5 linked regions of the Cricetulus griseus genome follow. The protein of the gene in region 4 purifies or fractionates together with the protein of the main gene of each other region. This does not show direct contact. Links are inferred from orthologs where the notes say so. Each region holds a gene or a part of one and is shown on either strand. Other genes may lie near its edges.

Region 1 (4,270 bases), on a different chromosome or scaffold from region 4:
TCATTCTATTATATCACAGAAATAAAACTACAGCTTCTGCTTTGAAGGCATGTGTCTCAACTATGTAAACTTCTACAGAGTAAGATAAAAATAGTTGTGAAGATAAATTTTAAATAGAACAATTCAGAAATAGAATAACAAGTGACAGTTTGTAGAATTCCTTATTTCCTTACCCACTGACCACTTCTGCCATGCTCAACTATTTCAGAGAACATATGTGAATTTTTCTCTTTACTTTTGTCATTTGTCTTCATCAACATCTAATCATGATATTTAAAAATAACTAGCAAAATTTATATGGCTGCTGACATAATGGAAGGGATACAAAACACTTAATTTGAACAATAGAACTAATTGTCTATTTGCATTCTGGTCCTGAAAATTACTAAGGCATTTTTTTTCATAAATTTCAGCAAACAGCACCAGTGCATGGCTATTCATACCAGAAGTTTCAGTGCAGGGCTGTGTGGGTTAGCAAGTAGCAGTACAGGATCCCAGTTAAAGTTGAATTTTAGAGAAACAATATACTTAATCTACACTAAGTTTTAGTATAAATATGTCCCCAAATCTACATGGGACATATGCCAAAAATTATCTGAAATTAATATTTAACTGAGTGTCTCATATTGTACCTAACAATCCCAGCCAGGCTTCTTTCTCCACCCTCTTAAATGCCATATACAATACCATCTCCGGTCACCTCTATCTCATTAAACATCTAGAATACAAATCCACTTTGCTGCATTCTTCCTTCTGTCATCACTATGATCCAAACTCCTGGCACAGAATCTCCCAAACAAACTCTGCTCATGCTAACTGGAGCTAATTCAGCAGCAGAGACATACATACTAACTTCAGTTTCTCTTTCTCTGGGGTCACTGTTTGGCAGCTCTAGAAATCTAAAATCCCAAACTCAGTTTGAGAGGAGCCACTGAGTGCACAGGGCAGAGGGGAGGCCTCTGGTTATCTCTCACTAGCCTCAAGCTCCCCAGGAAAAGGAACTGCTCTCTGAGATAGCCAGAGCCAATGGCCTTTATCATCTTGCTCATTTGTCCTTAATGTTGCCAAATGACAGTTAAGCCAAGACACATGTGGGCAGAAATGTTAAATTTGGGTCTCAGTAAGGTTGGTTTTCCAAAGTTAACTTTTAAAAGTTGGTCTTTTTGAATGAATTGTATGATTTATGAAGAATCTCCTTGATTTAAGTTCAAATCTCACACTCAGAGATGTTCCTTAATTAAAATATACAGATACATACATACATACATACATACATACATACACCCTAAGATTGAAAAGCCAGTAGGCAGAGAAAAAAAAAATTGGGGGTGATCAGGAAGTAGAATTGAAGTGCCCATGCTGATTGTAGAGAATAGTTAACTGATTGATAGCTGATAAATGTTTGACCTAGGAGAACTCTTACCTGGGAGTACGGTGGGCCTAGCATGTAAACAAAACAGCATATGCTGGAAATAGCAAGGACAGCAGGTTCCCCTAACATTACAAACAGTGTAAGACGATCAAAACAACAGTCAGAATCTAAAGATAAAACAGAACAAAACAACCCTCCCGGTTTTTCTGTTCATCACTGAAGTCACAGGATTGTTACAAATGACTATTAATGAAGTCTAGAACATGACAACAGTTCAAGCGTTTAAAAGGTTCATGCTCATCAATGCAAAACACAGCACCAAGTCTTAACAAGTCGTTGGTGCCAGACAAAGAAATCCCATGTAAACTCAGGTGGGAAATGCAATTTCAGAACACACCACCTGGCCAGTCCGACATTACAGATTAGAGAGAGAGAGAGAGAGAGAGAGAGAGAGAGAAGAGAGGAGAGAGAGAGAGAGAGAGAGAGAGAGAGAGAGAGAGAGAGAGAGAGAGAGAGAGAGAGAGAGAGAGAGAGAGAGAGAGAGAGAGATGTTTAGATGAAGAGGCGGGCTGAGTAACAACTACAGGTGAAGGGAAATTCACCCAGAATTAGAAGCTGCACCTGCGTTTCCAGGTATAACCAGCTTAGAGAGCTCCACCAAGCGACAATGTGATAGTCCGACCGCAGCTCCCACAAACCCCGTGTTTGCAAAAACGGTTTAGCCGGCTTTCCCGCTGGAAGAACAGCTAGATTATCCGCAGGCGTGCGGGTCACAAAACCGCACTAGGAAGGACACGAGGGACGGAAGTGCGCTTCCTTAGAAGGGGACGGGATCTGAGGGAGGCCGTAGCTCTTTATTCAAGTCCTTCCTGGGCCGCGGGTGACCGCAACCCTACGGTCGCACGCGGTTCTCCAACAGCTTCCCACGCAGGCCGGCTGCGGGACGCAGGGCCCCGTGTGTGTGTATGTGTGTGTGTGAGACGGGCGCGGGCTGCTCGCCCCCATGCGGGCGCGGGCTGGCCCTGCCTTTGAGTCCCGAGGTCCCCGCCAGCCGGGCCCACTCTCGACTCCCGGACCCAGGAGGCGGCCGCGGCCTGTGGGAGAGCGCCTAAGTGCCGCCCGGCCTCCCGGTCTCCCGGCCCCCGCCCCGCGCACCTCTCCTTGGAGTAGAACTGCAGCTGCTGCTCGCGCTGCCTCTTCCGGGTGAACGCCATGGAGGCCCGGGGCGCGCAGGCCGCCGACTGTCCCCAGAGGTCCCGAGCGGCGCCGCCCGGCGGCCGAGAGCCCCACGCTGCGCCCCAGGGCCCGCGGCGTCCCCACCGCGCTCACCGCAGCATCCTCGCGTGGGGACTCGGACTCGGGCGACGCCGTGACTCAGGCCCGGAGGAGGGGCGCGCTGACCTGGGGCCGCGGGCGGCAGCCGCGTCCTACACTGTCCCGACTAACCTCTGCAGCGCTGCTGCGGCGTGGAGACAGCACACGTGAAAGCCCAGGCTTGCCCGGGAGCCCCCCAGTTGTTGGCGCGGGGACCAGAAATAACAACGTTTTGCATTTTCAATCCCAAATTTCAGTTATTGAAATATTGGATGGCAGTTTAAGAAATAACACCACTAATGATGTACCACCTAAGTATCAAACAATTTGTCCATTTTTAGTGTATCAGTATTCACAGATAGGTGCAACTATGACTACACTAGGACTACAGTGTTGGGATATTTTCATCGGCCCAAAAAGAAGCCTTTACATTTTAGCAATCACTACTCCTTAGCTGCCTTTCCACAAACCTTTTCCTAGAAAAAACGACTTAACTTTCTCTATGAATTTGCCCAGTCTGGACATTTCAAATAAAAACAGCCATACAATACGTGGTCTTTGTGTCTGACGTCTTTCATTTAGCATAATGCTTTCAATGTTCATGAGCTGTAGCATAAGTCAAAATTCCATTTCTTTTTCTCACCGAAGTGTATTCCATTGTATTCCATACTTCATTTCATATTATATATTCAGCAGTTGCTAGGCATGTCAGTGTTTCCATCTCTTGGCTATTACAAATAATACAGCTATAAGCATTCATGTACCTGTTTTTGTATGCATACACTTTCATTTCTGTTGAGTGAAGTTGAAATCAAGGAGTGGAGTGGCTAGACTAATAACTCCATCTGAACTTCAAAAAACCGCCATACTGCTTTCAAAGTGGCTGCACCATCCCACTCTCACTAGTAGTGAAGAAAGGTTCTGACCCCCAACAATACTTAATATCTTTTGTATTAAATCTGTCCTACCAAGTATAACTGGTATTTCATGGGGTTTGTGGTTTCCCAATACTCTGAGAATATGCTGCAGATTGCCTACCATTGAGGGACTCTGGGATGACAAATTGTGAGAATGTTGAAACACACCTACCTTTGTCTTAAGGGCTAGGTTCTGCAGAGATAAATTAAAAACAAAAACAAAAACAAAAACAATGGCGGTGGAAGCAGCAGAGTGGCTTAGAACGTGGTGGGGGCGGGGGAGTTGAGAGTACTACATGAAGAGACCTGAGTTCCTTATATCCCAGCACTGCACAGATCCTGTAACTAGGAGACACTGGCTAAATTGTCCCCTGGGAAAGTGTCATTGTGTGCATGTGTGCACAATGACATAAGATTATGAGAATTGCTGAGGTATCATGTGAGAAATTTCTATGTGAGAAATATTATAGTAGAAGCTATAGAGTCAGAGGAGAAAATGATAGAAGCAGGTAAGGAAAAAACAGATCAGATATAACTTTTCTCTCAATTAAATGTTGGAAAAAGGTTGGCCTGGGTAGCTTGAGAATGACAGATTCTCTCCTTGACTAAACAACCAGGTTCCTCGAGTGTCCTTAAGTAGGTCTTGACCTTGGCCTACAAAACCTGT
Region 2 (3,515 bases), on a different chromosome or scaffold from region 4:
ACAGTTTTGACTCTAAGCGTTTAATAGTATCATTTGTGGCAGGAACTTGTTCCATATTGGTATCACTTTTATTACTGGTATTTGTAGAAGCGATGTCCATGAATGAGCCTAGGAAAGCAGAAACATTTATGACTTCAGGTTGAGAATGATATGAATGCCTCATTCAATAAATGGCAAGACATAAAAACAAAGCAAAAACTTCCACACCAATGAAGACACTCTAAACAAGTCCATTTTAAATGATGGTTACAGAGAGCACAATAAAGAGTCAGTCAGTCTTCTAAACAAATGAGACTAATGTAAAGATTTAACCCTGAAGTAGAGCTGGGGCTTATTAGCAGACAAGAAGAAGAGTGAGTTTGAAGGACATACCCAGAACTAAGTTTGGAAAGCACTGCTTTGAGTCCCTACTAGAAATCCTGTTCTGGATAAACAAAGGTAGAATCCAGGCATAAGATGAGAACACTTTTTTTTCTCTTCTGGTCCCAGGCACTTCAGGAGCCACAGGTTACTGTGAAGACATGGGCAAGTCCAAGAACTACACCACAAATAAGAAATCCTGGAAATGGCACAGGACAGCATCAAGAAACCCAGTCACAAAGATACTAGTGTCTTAAGGGGTTGACTCCAAGTTTCTGAGGAACATGTGATTTGTCAAGAAGCACAACAAGAAAGACCTGAAGAAGATGCAGACAAACAATGCAAAGATGAGTGAGCACGCAGAGGCCCTTAAGGCCCTTGTGCAACCCAAGGCAGTTAAGCCCAAGGAGCCAAGGTGCCCAACCACAAATGCAGCCTTATTTCTTTCATCACTCACCCAAAGCCTGGGAAGCAGATCTGAAGCTACATGGCTAAGGGTTATAGGCTCTGCCAACAAAAGCCCAGGTTTAAACCAAGGCTGAGGCTGCAGTTCCAGCTCAGGCTCTGAAAGGTGTGGGGCCCTTGTGAAGGCCCCATAGAAAAGGCTTCTACCAGTCAATATGAAGACAGATGGACTGATGTGACACACCTACACACTATTTACAGATGGTCAGTGCCCTATGATGTTTTTACAAATAAACCTGAGGCAAAATCTGCCTAGAGAGAGGGAGAGGAAAACAAAGTCCTAATATTGGAAGAGGTAACCAAGGAGATGGAGAAAATGGCTAAGTGAACAAGCCAATGGCTAAGTCTTTGGCACTCCTCCTTATAACTGAGGAAATGAGGAACAACCAGCAAAGAAAACCAAGAACAAGCTGAGGACAATCTCAGAGACATGGTGTTTGTTTAACATTCACAAAGTCTCAGGTTCTGCTTGTTTCGCAAAATAATAGCCAAACAATAACCTCAACAAAAACCCCTAAGTGACCAGAAATGTAGTATGAAATTCAGATTAGTCTTGGGTCCTGCACAGCAAGTGAAGAGTATAAAGAGAAAGATGAATGTACCAAACATTTATTAGTATCAACTGTGAATATAAAATTCCACTCATTTGCATAGTTATACAGAGATAACTGGTGACCTCCACAAGAATAATTCTGCAGTAGTAGTATAAGAGAAGTCTAAATGAAGTAGATGCTAGAGAATGGGAAGAAGGGAGTTAGTCAGTGCATCTGAATACAGACTGTATTTGCTCTTGAAATGTTCCCAGTAGAAAGACGAAAAGTCATGAGGGGAGAGAAGAGTTATCTACCTGACACAAAGGGTAGATATGGTATAATGTATAAGCAGAGAGTCTTGCCTTTAACTAGAAGCATGGGCAGTCAGAAAAAAACAGAAAACAGAGAAGGTGGGCACTGTTCCAAGTAGCTACAAAGACATGGGGACCTTGTAGGAGCTATCTTCTGATGATGCAAACATTCTTAAACAGAAAACAAGGTCAGCCTGCAGCATGGACTAGCAAGATACCTGAGCTTTTAGGGGAGAGGTTGCTGTCTAAAGCAAGTTGTCTAAGAGATGATAACTGCACAGTGACACTCAGCACTCATCTGAGAAAGGAGGAAGCTGAGAGCCAATTAGGCCTATAACTTAGCTAAGCAAGTGGAGAGAGGAATTCCACCATTGAGTATGATTTCTGATGGATCATCATTGACCAAGTTTAGTGGAGGGATGAAGGATAAAAGGATCTCCAGGAACTGAGGGTCAGTGAAAGGACTGAAAATCAGAAGATGAAAGAAAGGAAAAACACAGGGAGTTCTGGAAAAGATCACTGCAGAATCACTGAAAACTCAAAAGGTTTTCAGTAAAACTGAATTTGAGCATCACTAATCAAACAAAAACCTTAAAACAAATAAACCATCTCAAAATGGGGGAAAGAGACTAATGAACATATTCGTGGGAAAAAAGTGAAAATTTAAAGTTCAGGTTACATATGTACTGACATGTATGTGTTTCTCTAGATGAAATTAAATAAATAACAAAAAAGAAATTAAATAAATAACAAAATGCCATATATTTTGCAAATAGCAATTTCTCTAAGTTAGAATACTAGTTCTGTTTTTGATAACCTCAAACTATCACTTAGTACTTCTACTTTATATTTCAGAAAACTGAACTTCTAATTAAAGCAGTTTCAGAAATAAGTCTCTTTTGAAAAAGACCAAAGAGCAGAACAGAGTTGGTGAGGAAACCCAATGTTCACAATAACCTGCCTGACCCAGCAGCATCCATGGAGAACCTGTTGGTGTGGAGGCATGTATCTAGTCTGAGATCTAAGGAGGTTTTTGAGACAGGGTCATGAATTTGAAGTTAGCCTAAATCATATGGTGATTGGCTGGCCTGGATTCAAAGTGAGACTATCTCAAAAAGATGAAATTAGACTAGCATTCACAGCAATGTCATATTCAATCCTTTAGTCCTAACTAAGCAGTAACTCTAGACATGGAAGCAGGTCTTTATGGCAGGAGCTTCATAAAGAGGGAGGCACCTGGCAACTCAAACTGCAGTGAATCCAGAGAAATGAGGAATTAAAGTGTAAATGTAGACAGCCCTCCTTTTTTCATGACAAACTTCATGAGAGGGGAAATCTTGATGATGCTCTGATGCCATCTGTTTACCTGTGCTGGTGGCTGAGTTGCTCTGCCCTTCATCAGAGTACTGACAAGGATACTGCAATGGCTCATCTGCTCCTGGAAAGTACTGTAGTAAAAGCAAGTCACAATTTAAAATGCCTTTAGTACAGGGTAAACCCTGTTACATGAACACAAGAGCACATCTGTATCACTGCTTTAGTTTAAGGTACACAGGGGTGGACACAGCCCTGCTTTCCTGCAGGCTTGTACTGAATGTGGAATGACTTCTGTTTCTGATCAGAGAAAAAGGTGATAGTGCTCTTTTTGGAAAGCTAGCTGCAGACAATGCCATGTACCTACACAAGCACTGAGATGACAGCAAGGGAAACTCTCTAGAGGAGCATACAGAACAGAGGACTCACTGCTCGGAAGAACACTGGGCTTGGAACAGTGACATATATTGATAACTGGCAGTGAATGCTTCTGAATCACCTTTAAACCAGTATTTTTAAAGATTAAGAACAC
Region 3 (3,515 bases), on a different chromosome or scaffold from region 4:
GTGCAACTGAGGGTCCATAGCTCCCCACCAATCCTGTGGACCCAGTTTGAGGAAGGTCCTCCCCGCTTCTGCCATATGCCAGTAAATGGAAGCATCCTGAATATTCAGAATAAAGGACTGAGAAGTCTGCTTCTCATTAAAATCTAAGAGGTCTCTGATCAGTCACCTCCTGGCTTTCAGGATGCTCTCAGAGGCTTTGCTCAGGGCTGACTGTATTAGCTGTTCAGAATCAATTCTAAGTATGCTTAGGCTGTTCAGTGTATCCTAACATGAGCCAAAGAAATGTGGCTGGTTTTTCCAGGCTCTCTTCCAGCAGACTTTTTAAAGGGACCTTTGTCATCATGAGGAGACAGCCTGTCTGTCACAGATGGAAGACCTGACACCAGAGAGGGCAAGATTCACCAAATGTCTCACCAGTTGCTCTTCAGTCCTTTTTGCTTCATGAAACCTCTGGCTCTGAGCTTCAATGAAGCACTTCTGACAATATCCTTCAAACATGGTGCTCCCGAGGGTGCCGCACTCCCTGCCCAGGCATGGGATGTTATTCTGGAACCTGGGGGCTGTGGAACCGGCTTTCCCAGAGGCAGTAACAAACTCTACAAAAGAGTGGATGCTAGTCAGTATTACATCTGGGTTACTGTGCAAATACAGACACTGACATACAGGAAATGGGTACCCAACATAGATGAAAACAGCCTTGAACATGTACTTTGAGACTGAACTTTCAGAAACTCAGCAAAATAACATCTTTGGCTTAATCTCTCACTTTGAACATGGGTCACTGATCAGTCAGAGAACCAAACAGCAGGCATTCACAGCCCACTTGCCCTTTGATTTAGAAAGTCCTAAGCCACAGATGTTTTCCTGATGGCAGTAAATACTTCCTTTCTTTTGCTAGCCTGCTTCAGAGTATCTCACCAAAGATGCTGAAGTCTGAACTATACGTGGGTAGCAGACTCTCAATGGCCTTATTAAACCCAGCCCCACAGTCTAGTGTGGCAGTATATGCCTAAAATTCTAGCACTGAGGGGAAAGAAGCAAATAGATTGCCAGGACTCTGAGGCCCGCCTGGGATACACAGTGGGTCCATCATGGACTAGTATGAATTATATCTATAGGATATTTTTGATGTAGGGTACATGGTAACTAGAACTGATGTAATGAGATAGTGCCTACTGCTTCCAGGTACAACAGCAGAGCAACAGTCACTGTCCCCAAGCACAAACCAATAAGAAAGGCATAGTGAGATGTAATTGCTCTGACTGCTGGGATAGGCTACTTTCTTGACAATCAAAGACCCCTTTCTAGGCACTGACTACTGCAATAGGCAATCTATGATTTCACTCACGTTTATTTTCTCTGTATTCGATGAAACACAGCGTGCAGAAGCCCTTGTTTTTGGGAGTCCCAAAATATGTGCAGCCAGCTTTTCTGCACTTGCTTGTCCCTGTCCTGTCTCCTGGAGTTCGTGCTGCCTGGGAAAGGCAGCCAGAAGGGACATCATTTCCAGTCCGATGGCAAGAGTGTGGGGCGAGACTTTGGATGAGTTGTGAGGGGTCAGACTTGGAGCGTTGGTGACAGGAGGGAGGGACACTGGAAGTGAGGCTGGAGGAGGGCTCTGCTTTGGTCCTTTTCAAACAGGTACTGCAGATGCCATTAAACGTCCGAGTGACATCCTGATGGCAAGCTTGGCACTTACCGGGATCTGCAGTGTGGCTGGCATTAAGCTGCTGGGCATTGTGGCAGCGCTCACAGAATCCATTATGCTGCACGTTCAATGTGAAAGGGCAACCGGGGCTCCTGCACTTCATTGCCGTGGTCTCGCTGAACAGAAAAAGGCTGGGTGCCGTGGGTGGGGCCGAATGAGGTCCTCCAGCTGTTTCCTCCGGGCTCCAGGCGGAGGTGCCAAGTCCCATGCCTGGGAATCCTTCAGGACCCAGCTTCGAGTTCAGCTTTGGGAGTTTGCTCTGGTTCTTTTGGCGCCTCTCTGAGCATTCATGACATAACGGTTGAGTGTTCACGGACATAAAGAAAGGACAGTTGGGTGTCTCACATTTTACATCCATGAGTGACAGCTGGGGCGTGGAAGGCTCCAAAGGGTTCTGTGAATGCGCCCCTCTCCTGCCTTGCTCATTGTTTTCCTGCCATTTCTTGTATTCATGCTGAACAAGTTCAAAGTAATCATCTACCAGATTTATTTCTTTGGGTAAATTAGCTTCATCCAACCTAAAGAGCAAGCAGGAAAATAAGTGGTGACTCCAAATAACACAAGACTCTAACATCATAAGCTCCTAGAACACATTTCCAGAATGTAGCAGTCTATGGCACAATACCAGCACTGAAATGCAGGCTTATGACACATTGTGGTCCAATACACTTCTATCATGTTCTCAAGTGCAGAAGACAAATCAAAGGGCTGGAGAGATGGCTCAGCTGTTAAGAGCACTGGCTACTCTTCCAGAGGACCCAGGTTCAATTCCCAGCACCCACATGGCAGCTCTGTCACAACTGTCTGTAACTCCAGTTCCAGGGAATCCAGCACCCTCACACAGACATGCATGCAGGCAAAACACCAATGCATAGAGAAAAAAATTAATAAATAAATCTTTTAAAAAAAGACAAATTAAAGGAGACTGCTTACTTTGCAGCATTGATGAGGTGAGTTGTGCCATGGTCCCAGCCTTGCACCGGGATCTCCATCACTATCAAGTACTCCTTGAGAAGTTTTTCCTTCATCTCATTTTCAGGGTCTGTCAAAAAGTGAACTTTTAAGTCTTCAAATCTTCCCCGATCTCTATTAACAAGGGGAACAGCTCGGATTTCTGAAAGAAAAAAAATATCGTGTGAGTAAAATATTATCCTACAAATGATGCTGTGTGTAAGGTCACATACACTGATTAGAATTTAGAGATACAGAAAGATTCATCCAGTCACACTTAAAAGCCAAACAGGGAAACAAAATGTGGTAAAGACTAACATAAAATGCTTTGTATCCAGGGAGCTCACAGAATGCCAAGGAGCCTGGTACTGGCAGACTTCTTTGACAGGGATTTAATTTGTGATTTTTGGATATTTATTGTGGCTGGAAGGCTGAGAGGTAATTTTAGTTCTTGTTTGGAGCACAAAGATTCTGGACTTACTTTTGTGCTTTTGTACACATCTCTATGAACATACTCTGTATTTGAACTCCATTATCCTCTCACCCCTCCTCCTCCTGCTGCTTCTACTTCTTTCAAAATCCTCTGCCTTCTACTTCCATGTATTCTGCTCTGTACCCTTAAAAAAAATCTAGATTCCATATATGAGAGAAAAAAGTGTTGCTTTTCTGAGTCTATGCTTTTCTTTTAAATATGATTATCTCCTGCTCCATCTTTTTTCTCTGCAAATGACAAAAATTCCCTTTTTCCCCCTTATGGCTAAATAATTCCATTGTGTACACATATCACAGTCTCTTCATCCATCCATCTGGTGATCATCACCTAAGCTGATTTTTGTAATCACAGGAAGGAGACAAG
Region 4 (3,982 bases):
CCTTATGCACACTTTTTTTTCCTTTTTGGTTTTTTTTTACGACATGGTCTCATGTGGTCTAGGCTGCACTGGTGCACGTGTCCCTATTGACGCTTTTTCTCTATGGCCTCAAGCTCTCTTTGTAGCCAAAACTGGTCTCCCGCCTTCACCTCCCATTCTAGAATGAAAGGCCTTGGCTTTCACGACTGGCTCTGGCTCGTGGTTCTTTTCCACACAGGCTGGAGTACCCGTTCTCACCCTGTCATATTCCTCACCTTGGCCGTCCTACCCCCAGCTGAGGTGCTCAGCTCCATTCCCCCACCCAGTCTCCCAGCTCCTCTGCTCTCCCTCCTTTCTGGCTCCAGATGCCAGAAAAGAGTTCCAAGCCCTCTTCTCTATGCAGCATTCCCTCCCTGGTCCCATGGACCAATCTCTTGTTTCCTAATTGATTCCACCATTAGTCAAGTGTCAAGGTCTCCATTCCAGGATCCTCGTGGGTGCTGGAGATGCCAAGAGGGGTGGGACATAATTCACACTCTCAAGAGCTCTCAGTGAGCCAAAGATCTATGCAGGCAAGCTCAGCCCAACAGACAGGCAAAGGCCAGTAAGCAAGAAAAGACAGTTGGCCTGTGGCCAACCTCCCCCCACCCCCGCCCCAGCTCTGCCTCCAGGACACTGTATCACAAGGCCTTGGCATGTCTTTTCCTCCAGACTGTTCTAAAGTCATTTTGACTCCTATATTTAAACGCCTTAAAACTTAAAATCTTGTTGGCCTGGCCTCCTGACCCCAGCGCCTCATCACTCATGCTTGTCGTAGGCACTGTGCTCTGACAAGGCAGTGGACCGACTGCCCGTTGTAGACCTTACGTGCTATCTCTTGACCTTTGTCTTTAGGCTCCGATTCTGTTCATAGTGCCCATCGCCACCTGGGCCTCCACAACTGGGTCAGGGGCTTTCTAACCTATCTAGGCTATTTTTACCTTATCAAATGCTGGCAGCCACTGAGTAATGACAGACTACCGATACCGCTAGCGAGGAGAAAACAGGCACTAAGCAGAGTCCCTTCTATTTGTCGCCATCAGGGATCCATTCACCTCCAATCCTAGCTCCTCAAACAGGGCCCAGAGTAAGAGATTAGCAAATTGAGCAAATATGTAACATGCACCCACCTATTCAATCTTAAAAGAACAACTATGAGGTAGTGATCTTTATGGCCATTTTGGAAATAGAGAAACAAAGGCATAGGGGACTCTCATCACATGTCAGAGTTTACGTAGGTCAGGGTGTTGTACTGAGCCCTAAATCCAGCTGCTGCAGCCTTAAGGGAACAGGACTAAGTGAGGGCAATTGGATGATGGGCGCAGACCCAGAAGGGGCAGTTTTGACAAGGGTCTTGAGCTGAGACCGGGAGACAGGAGAGAGGGAGACTACACAGACTGGGGGAGTTGAGGGTTCTGGAAACACTGGCTTAGACTGGAACAGGAAAAAGAGGGAAGGGAATGGACAGAAAGGAGCTCCAAGAGGCTGCTCTGGAGACCGACAGGAAAGGATGGGGAGAGGAGAGGCGTGGAGAAGGAGGCACCTCTCAGAGACACTGTCCAGGAGGTACAGTCCGCCAGACAGCCAGGGAGCCCTGGCTCTGAGCTCTCCGCAGAATGGTTATACGCACGCACGTATAGGGAAACCAAGGAAACGTGAAAAAAACGAGGCCAAAGCCAGAGGAAAGGACATTTTTCCAGTGACGAAAACAAACTGCTACCAACTTCCCCAATCTGAACTGTGGAATTAGAAACCGAGAGATTGTCTTTTAGGTCTGTGAGGAGGGGGCTGAAGGATACACTGCCTAGGTAAAGGAGGTATTAGCTACCTAGGGAGGGTTAGGCCAATGGAGACCTCTTGTCTGGAAGCAGACCTGGGGGCAGAAGGGCACAGGCTGTCTCAGGAAAGCGGCTGGGCCGGGCTGCCCTGCTTTATCCTGTTTCCTGTTTCACTCCCAAACATGGTATCCCAAACCTGTCCCACCAACTGCCCCCGTTCTTCGACCCAGTCTTCCAACATCCTGACCCTTGCTGTTCAACGTCTGCCAGAGAAACGGGGGCTGCTCCGGGTAATTCCACTGGCCTGGCACCTGGCCTCCCTAAAGCCCAACACACTCCAGGACCAGCCAGCCGCCTTGGCTGTCAGGCCCTGGGCTTGGGGGCTTGCTTGGCTGGTGGTAACGTTCTCCCTCTCAGATTTCTCCCCTCCGCCTCTCAGAGCAGCCCCAGGTGAGGCACAGCAAGCCTAGGCAAACTGAAGCGGAGAAGCGACCCCACCCCCACCCCTACCCCTAGTACATGCCACCCCTGCCAGGCCGCGCCTGACCAGCTGCCCACCCGTCCCCTCTGTCTCCCATCTCACCAGTGACAGCAGCAGGCCAGGCACGGTGGGGAGACCCATGTCCGGCCGGCAGTGGCCTCTCACTCCCCCATTGGGGCTGGGGACAGTGCAGCAATTGGCAAGGCTGGTGAATGAAGTAAGCCGACCGGACCAGGTGGCCCGGGCAGTGGCAGCGCGGGCCTCGGTTTAGAGGCGCTGAAAGTCGAGGGTAGATAGAGATCGGGGTGCGGTCCTCCAGGACCTCGAACCCAGTAGGCCCGACCGGGAGCCAGAGTTCGGAACACTCGGAGAAAATTAAAGTTGCGAGTAAAGAGGAGGTAGGAGGGGAAGGGAGAGTGGCGGGGGTGGTGTTGCAAGAGCGGGACCGGAAGAGCCGGGGGAGAGGCGAGGGAGGAGGGAGGAGGGAGCCAGGAGAGACGAGAGGGCCAAGGTTCTTTTAACGCTTTGCAGCCTGGCTCCCACAGCCTGGCGCCCCAAACCCGCTTAACACCCAGCGGGAGCACCTAGAGTTTGAGTCAAATTCGCCGAGTTCCAGTTGTCTCCTCTGCTTTTTAGGTGGGGGAGCTTAGACCCGTAGACTAACCCCGCCCCGGGCTGTTCTCAAGTTCACAGAATGAAGATAGCCTATCTCATGGGATGGCAGGCAGGAGTTACTGAGGGAGGACAGCAGCTGGTGCACGGCTGTCCTCAGCGGCCCTCCCTTCGCTCCAGGGTTCCCTCTAATCTCTCTTTTTTGGACGTTTACCCAACCAGCCCCAAACCGGGAAGAAAACCAAATCTAGTTTTCTACCCTGCCTGGGGCCTGACCCTCAGCCTCTCCCACTGACTTTCATCAGGCTCTTCCAGACAGGTTCCCCAGCTGCCCACCATGGCTCTGTCACAGAGAGGAGAGAGAGAGGAGAGAGGAGAGAGAGAGAGAGAGAGAGAGAGAGAGAGAGAGAGAGAGAGAGAGAGAGAGAGAGAGAGAGAGGAGAGAGAGAGAGAGAGAGAGACCCCCAAGCCTTGGTTGGCTCCCCAGTTATTAAATGAGAGAGTGAACGCCTGCACTGCCCTCACACAGGGAAAGAGGTGCTGTGAAGATTCAGGAGGCCATCTCTGTGAACATGCTTGAGGCTGTAAAGGGTTCCCAGGGCCCTTTTCCCAAACCTGCTATTTTGTCTTGGTTAAAGAAATGTTTCATTTAGCCCAGGCCAGCCTCAAACTCACTATGTAGCTGAGGCTGGCCTTGTACTTCTGGTCCTCTTGCCTCCTACAGGCTAAGATTACAGATGGGTACCACCACACCCAGCTCTAGATACTTGGATGCATCCATTAGGACTGACCCCGGAGGGAGAGTACTAAATCTTGAAGCTTTAAGGGTAAGGAAAAAGCCACAAGACACAGCATGCTGGGATGCAGAGCACAGAGGACCTGGGTTCCTGGTTCCCTGCACTGTCCTCTCTCTCTCTGAGTGAGACATCGCCTTCTGACTGCCATCCCTTATGAGGGGTGGACACCTTCTGCCATCTCCATGTGTACAGGTGAACCCTACAGCACCGGGACACTATGCACTCAAGTGCCCTTGAGATTTAGTGGCCTTCTTTATGTATGCCAGTTCAGCCTGAGGTCCTTCAGTGGCTGAGAT
Region 5 (3,479 bases), on a different chromosome or scaffold from region 4:
CTCTCTTCTAGCCTCCAAGGGCTCCCACACACACAAATACACATAAAACTCACACAAATACACATAAATTTAAAATTAATTAAAATTTAATTAATTAAACATTGTCTAAGATATAATGTTACCCTAGTATTCAAATGAATAATTCTCCTGGATTCCATCTCAATTTATCATAAAGGGGAATGAATGGGCTGTGGGTCAACAAGATGGCTCAGTGCAGAAAACCCTCATTGCAAAATCTTAATGACATTTGTCCTTGATACTCAGAACCCAGAGGAAGTGGAGAGTTCTGACTCCATTAAGATATCCTCTGATTTATGTGTCACTGTACGCACGTGCAAGCACACACACACACACACACACACACACACACACACACACACACACCCCTACCTCTTCAAAATTGAAAACTGATTTGACAGTATGTTGAAATCAAGCTCCTTCGTGAAAATTTTATTTAAGAGGAAAATATAAAGGCTTACTAATTGAAAAGATCTATGTGCACATACAGAAAACAAAAATCACACATAGTGTGTGACTCTTTGGGGATTTTGAAGGTTACAAGGCACTTTAAAAAAAACTGGTTTTTGTAACCTTTAAATCTAAGAGAAAAGTGCTAACATCTGTTCAACATATACTTTTTTTAATACAATGAGCAACCCAGTGTGCTTTTAAGTGTGTGTGTGTGTGTGTGTGTGTGTGTGTGTGTGTGTGTGTGTGTATCTGTGCATTTGCTACAGCATTCATACAGAAGTCAGAGGAAAACCTGTGGGAGTCAAATCAGTTCTCCCTTCCACCAAATGGGGTCTGGGGGTCAAGCTCTAGTACTGAGATCCAAGTGTCCTCACCTGCCAAGCCACCTCCCTAGCCCTTCACAACGCACTTCATTGTGAACAATTGTTTTCAGAATATGAAACATAAGAAACACCGGGCCAAATAGACAAGCATCTTTTTACAACTTGCATAGGGTGACATGCCATCTCTCCGGAGAAGGGACCTTGTGAACTGTACCTGACTCTATTTCCTCGGCTGCCTGCTCCTTCTGCTCCTCCCTTATCTCGTCTTCCGCATCAAGTAAGCCTATCACGAGGTCGCTGACGGTCCTGTAGTTCTCGCCAGTGGCCAGGATTTGACGCTGAACTGTCTGTCTTACCAGGCTCCTACTGAAGCCCATTTCCAAAGCTGCTTTAACCACAGGCGTGTTCATCATGACCACATCTTCTGAACTTTCACCAAGTCCGAAATGCACAACTATATGAAAAGGGAGATTTAACAGACATTAGCAGTGCCCGTATACCTTTTTGTTATGGCTGTTGTTTTGAGATTTCTTCTAGCCCAGTCAAGCCTCAAGCTTATTATGTAGCCCAGGCTGATCTCAAATTCATGGCAATTCTCCTGCCTCAGCCTCCCAGGTGCTAGGATTACAGGCAAAAACCAACACATACTTTTTAAATAGCAAGCTATTGCAATATCAAAACCATAAAATCTGAAAAACACATAGGCACTACACTAAGAATATGGAATACTATTGCCTTTAGATATAAGCCTATGACTACTTTTCCTCAAGAGCAGGAGACCCGAATGTCAGGGTTCAATCCCACCAGAATCAAGGGGCTTCTTTTTCTATATTGGATAAGTGAATAAGCTTTCTAAATCATATATATATATATTATATATATATATATATATATATATATTCTACATATTTGTTTTATTGGTATTTATTTGTTGTATACAATGTTTTTGTCATAATATATTTATATACACATATGTAATTTGATATTTTTGTCTCTTTCCATTTCCTGCAAATAGCATGGTTTCACATTTAATTTATGGTTGAGTAATTTTCTTTTTTTTTTTCCTGTTTTCTTTTGTTGCAGGAGACAGAGTCTTAGCATATAGCCAAGGTTCTTGCTTCTGACTCCCAAATGCTGAGGTCATAGGTATGCACTACATTATCTTTATCCATCCATCTGCCAGTGAGTTATGACTCAATCCATAATTTGACTATATGTTTTCACAGTTTTGAAAGAAACCATTGTTACCATTCAGTACAGTTACCCCAGTGTCCTAGAGTATTGCCCCCCTTCCAACACTACAACCCAGCAACTTTGAAAACGCAAAACCAGATGGGATCACACTCTTTAAACTCAACCCCCTTAACCTTAGGATCAAATCTCAGCTCTACCTGTGGCTTATACATTCAGATGTGGCCACAGCCTCAGCCCTTGCTATTTCCATGCTAGAAGCAGCTTCACGAATTTGCCCTTGCATTTGGATCTAGAGTTCCCAAACTGAGAGCTGTTAGCTCAGACTCTGCCGTCAGCACCACCAATTACCTGCCTGCAGCTCGATCCTTCCAGCTAGACAAAATTTGTCCAGTTCCTTGGAAGTCCCTATTCCATGTCACTTAGGCCTCTGATATTCTCTTTGTCCAGAATATGCTTTTGCCTGTTAGTTAACAGATTTCTGTTCTCTTGGGCTCTCTGCTAGGAAAAGTACTTCTGCAGACAGTCTTTTCTTTCATTTTTGTTTTGTTTTGCTTTGTTTTATGGTTTTTGGATGGGGGAGGAGGGATTGCCATGGCATGTGGGTTGTCAGAGGACAGCTTGCAGGAGTCACTTTCTCTCTGCCCACCATGTGAGTCTAGGGCCTAGAACTCAGGCTGTCAGTGTGGCAGCAAGCACTTTAACCACTGAGCTATCTGCCAGCCCTGTTCTGTTCTTTTTCTTAAGATTTATTTATTTATTTATTTATTTATTTATTTATTTATTATGTATACAACATTCTGCTTCCATGTATATCTGCACATCAGAAGAGGGAATCATATCTCATAATGGATGGTTGTGAGCCACCATGTGTTTGCTGGGAGTTGAACTCAGGACCTCTGGAAGAGCAGCCAGTGCTCTTAACCTCTGAGCCATATCTCCAGCCCTGTTCTGCTCTTTTAAGACAAAATCTCACTAGGTTACCAGGCTGGCCAGGAACTCACCCAAGCTGGCCTGGAACTCCCTGTATGACCCTTGTGCTTTAGCCTTGCAAGTACTGAGGCTGCAGGTGCTGTGCAGACATACACACCCACCCCTGGCTTCCAATTCCGCAGACTTAGCTGTCTGCCTCTTGGCTTTCTCCTCCAGATCATGTTCTCCTATCTGAGCTCTCATCTGTGTCCCTAAAATCATTAGCTCATGAGAACAGGAGTCATGCTTATCTTGTGTCCTATTCTTTGTTTGGAACAACAAAAATCCATAATAAAAACATATTACAGCCGGCATTGGTGGCTCACGCCTTTAATCCCAGCACTTGGGAGGCAGAGGTAGGCGGATCTCTGTGAGTTTGAGGCCAGCCTGGTCTCCAGAGTGAGTGCCAGGATAGGCTCCAAAGCTATACAGAGAAACCCTATCTCGAAAAACAAAACAAAACAAAACAAAAAAATTACATTAGGCCTGGAAAGATGGCTCAGCAGTTAAGAGCTCTGGCTG

What was found.
Region 1: the proteins of Tnfrsf1a (region 4) and Nsmaf purify together in Homo sapiens (affinity purification with western blotting; 3 studies listed by BioGRID and IntAct, with this or other methods). This does not show direct contact. The link is inferred for Cricetulus griseus from reciprocal best matches to the Homo sapiens genes TNFRSF1A and NSMAF.
Region 2: the proteins of Tnfrsf1a (region 4) and Map3k7 purify together in Homo sapiens (affinity purification with western blotting; 7 studies listed by BioGRID, with this or other methods). This does not show direct contact. The link is inferred for Cricetulus griseus from reciprocal best matches to the Homo sapiens genes TNFRSF1A and MAP3K7.
Region 3: the proteins of Tnfrsf1a (region 4) and Tnfaip3 purify together in Homo sapiens (affinity purification with western blotting; 7 studies listed by BioGRID, with this or other methods). This does not show direct contact. The link is inferred for Cricetulus griseus from reciprocal best matches to the Homo sapiens genes TNFRSF1A and TNFAIP3.
Region 5: the proteins of Tnfrsf1a (region 4) and baculoviral IAP repeat-containing protein 3 purify together in Homo sapiens (affinity purification with western blotting; 4 studies listed by BioGRID, with this or other methods). This does not show direct contact. The link is inferred for Cricetulus griseus from reciprocal best matches to the Homo sapiens genes TNFRSF1A and BIRC3.

The regions. Positions count from the first base shown.
Region 1 is NC_048595.1:154,069,998-154,074,267, reverse strand, and holds the start of Nsmaf (protein FAN), read right to left. Parts: upstream 2,806-4,270; 5' UTR 2,587-2,805; coding exon 2,528-2,586; intron 1-2,527. UniProt on the Homo sapiens protein: Couples the p55 TNF-receptor (TNF-R55 / TNFR1) to neutral sphingomyelinase (N-SMASE). Specifically binds to the N-smase activation domain of TNF-R55. May regulate ceramide production by N-SMASE.
Region 2 is NC_048595.1:110,086,735-110,090,249, forward strand, and holds part of Map3k7 (mitogen-activated protein kinase kinase kinase 7), read right to left. Parts: intron 3,118-3,515; coding exon 3,036-3,117; intron 109-3,035; coding exon 1-108. UniProt on the Homo sapiens protein: Serine/threonine kinase which acts as an essential component of the MAP kinase signal transduction pathway. Plays an important role in the cascades of cellular responses evoked by changes in the environment.
Region 3 is NC_048595.1:270,731,631-270,735,145, reverse strand, and holds part of Tnfaip3 (tumor necrosis factor alpha-induced protein 3), read right to left. Parts: intron 2,823-3,515; coding exon 2,642-2,822; intron 2,227-2,641; coding exon 1,349-2,226; intron 597-1,348; coding exon 415-596; intron 1-414. UniProt on the Homo sapiens protein: Ubiquitin-editing enzyme that contains both ubiquitin ligase and deubiquitinase activities.
Region 4 is NC_048601.1:21,085,820-21,089,801, forward strand, and holds the start of Tnfrsf1a (tumor necrosis factor receptor superfamily member 1A), read right to left. Parts: upstream 2,811-3,982; 5' UTR 2,419-2,810; coding exon 2,380-2,418; intron 1-2,379.
Region 5 is NC_048597.1:122,231,145-122,234,623, forward strand, and holds part of baculoviral IAP repeat-containing protein 3, read right to left. Parts: intron 1,249-3,479; coding exon 1,009-1,248; intron 1-1,008. UniProt on the Homo sapiens protein: Multi-functional protein which regulates not only caspases and apoptosis, but also modulates inflammatory signaling and immunity, mitogenic kinase signaling and cell proliferation, as well as cell invasion and metastasis.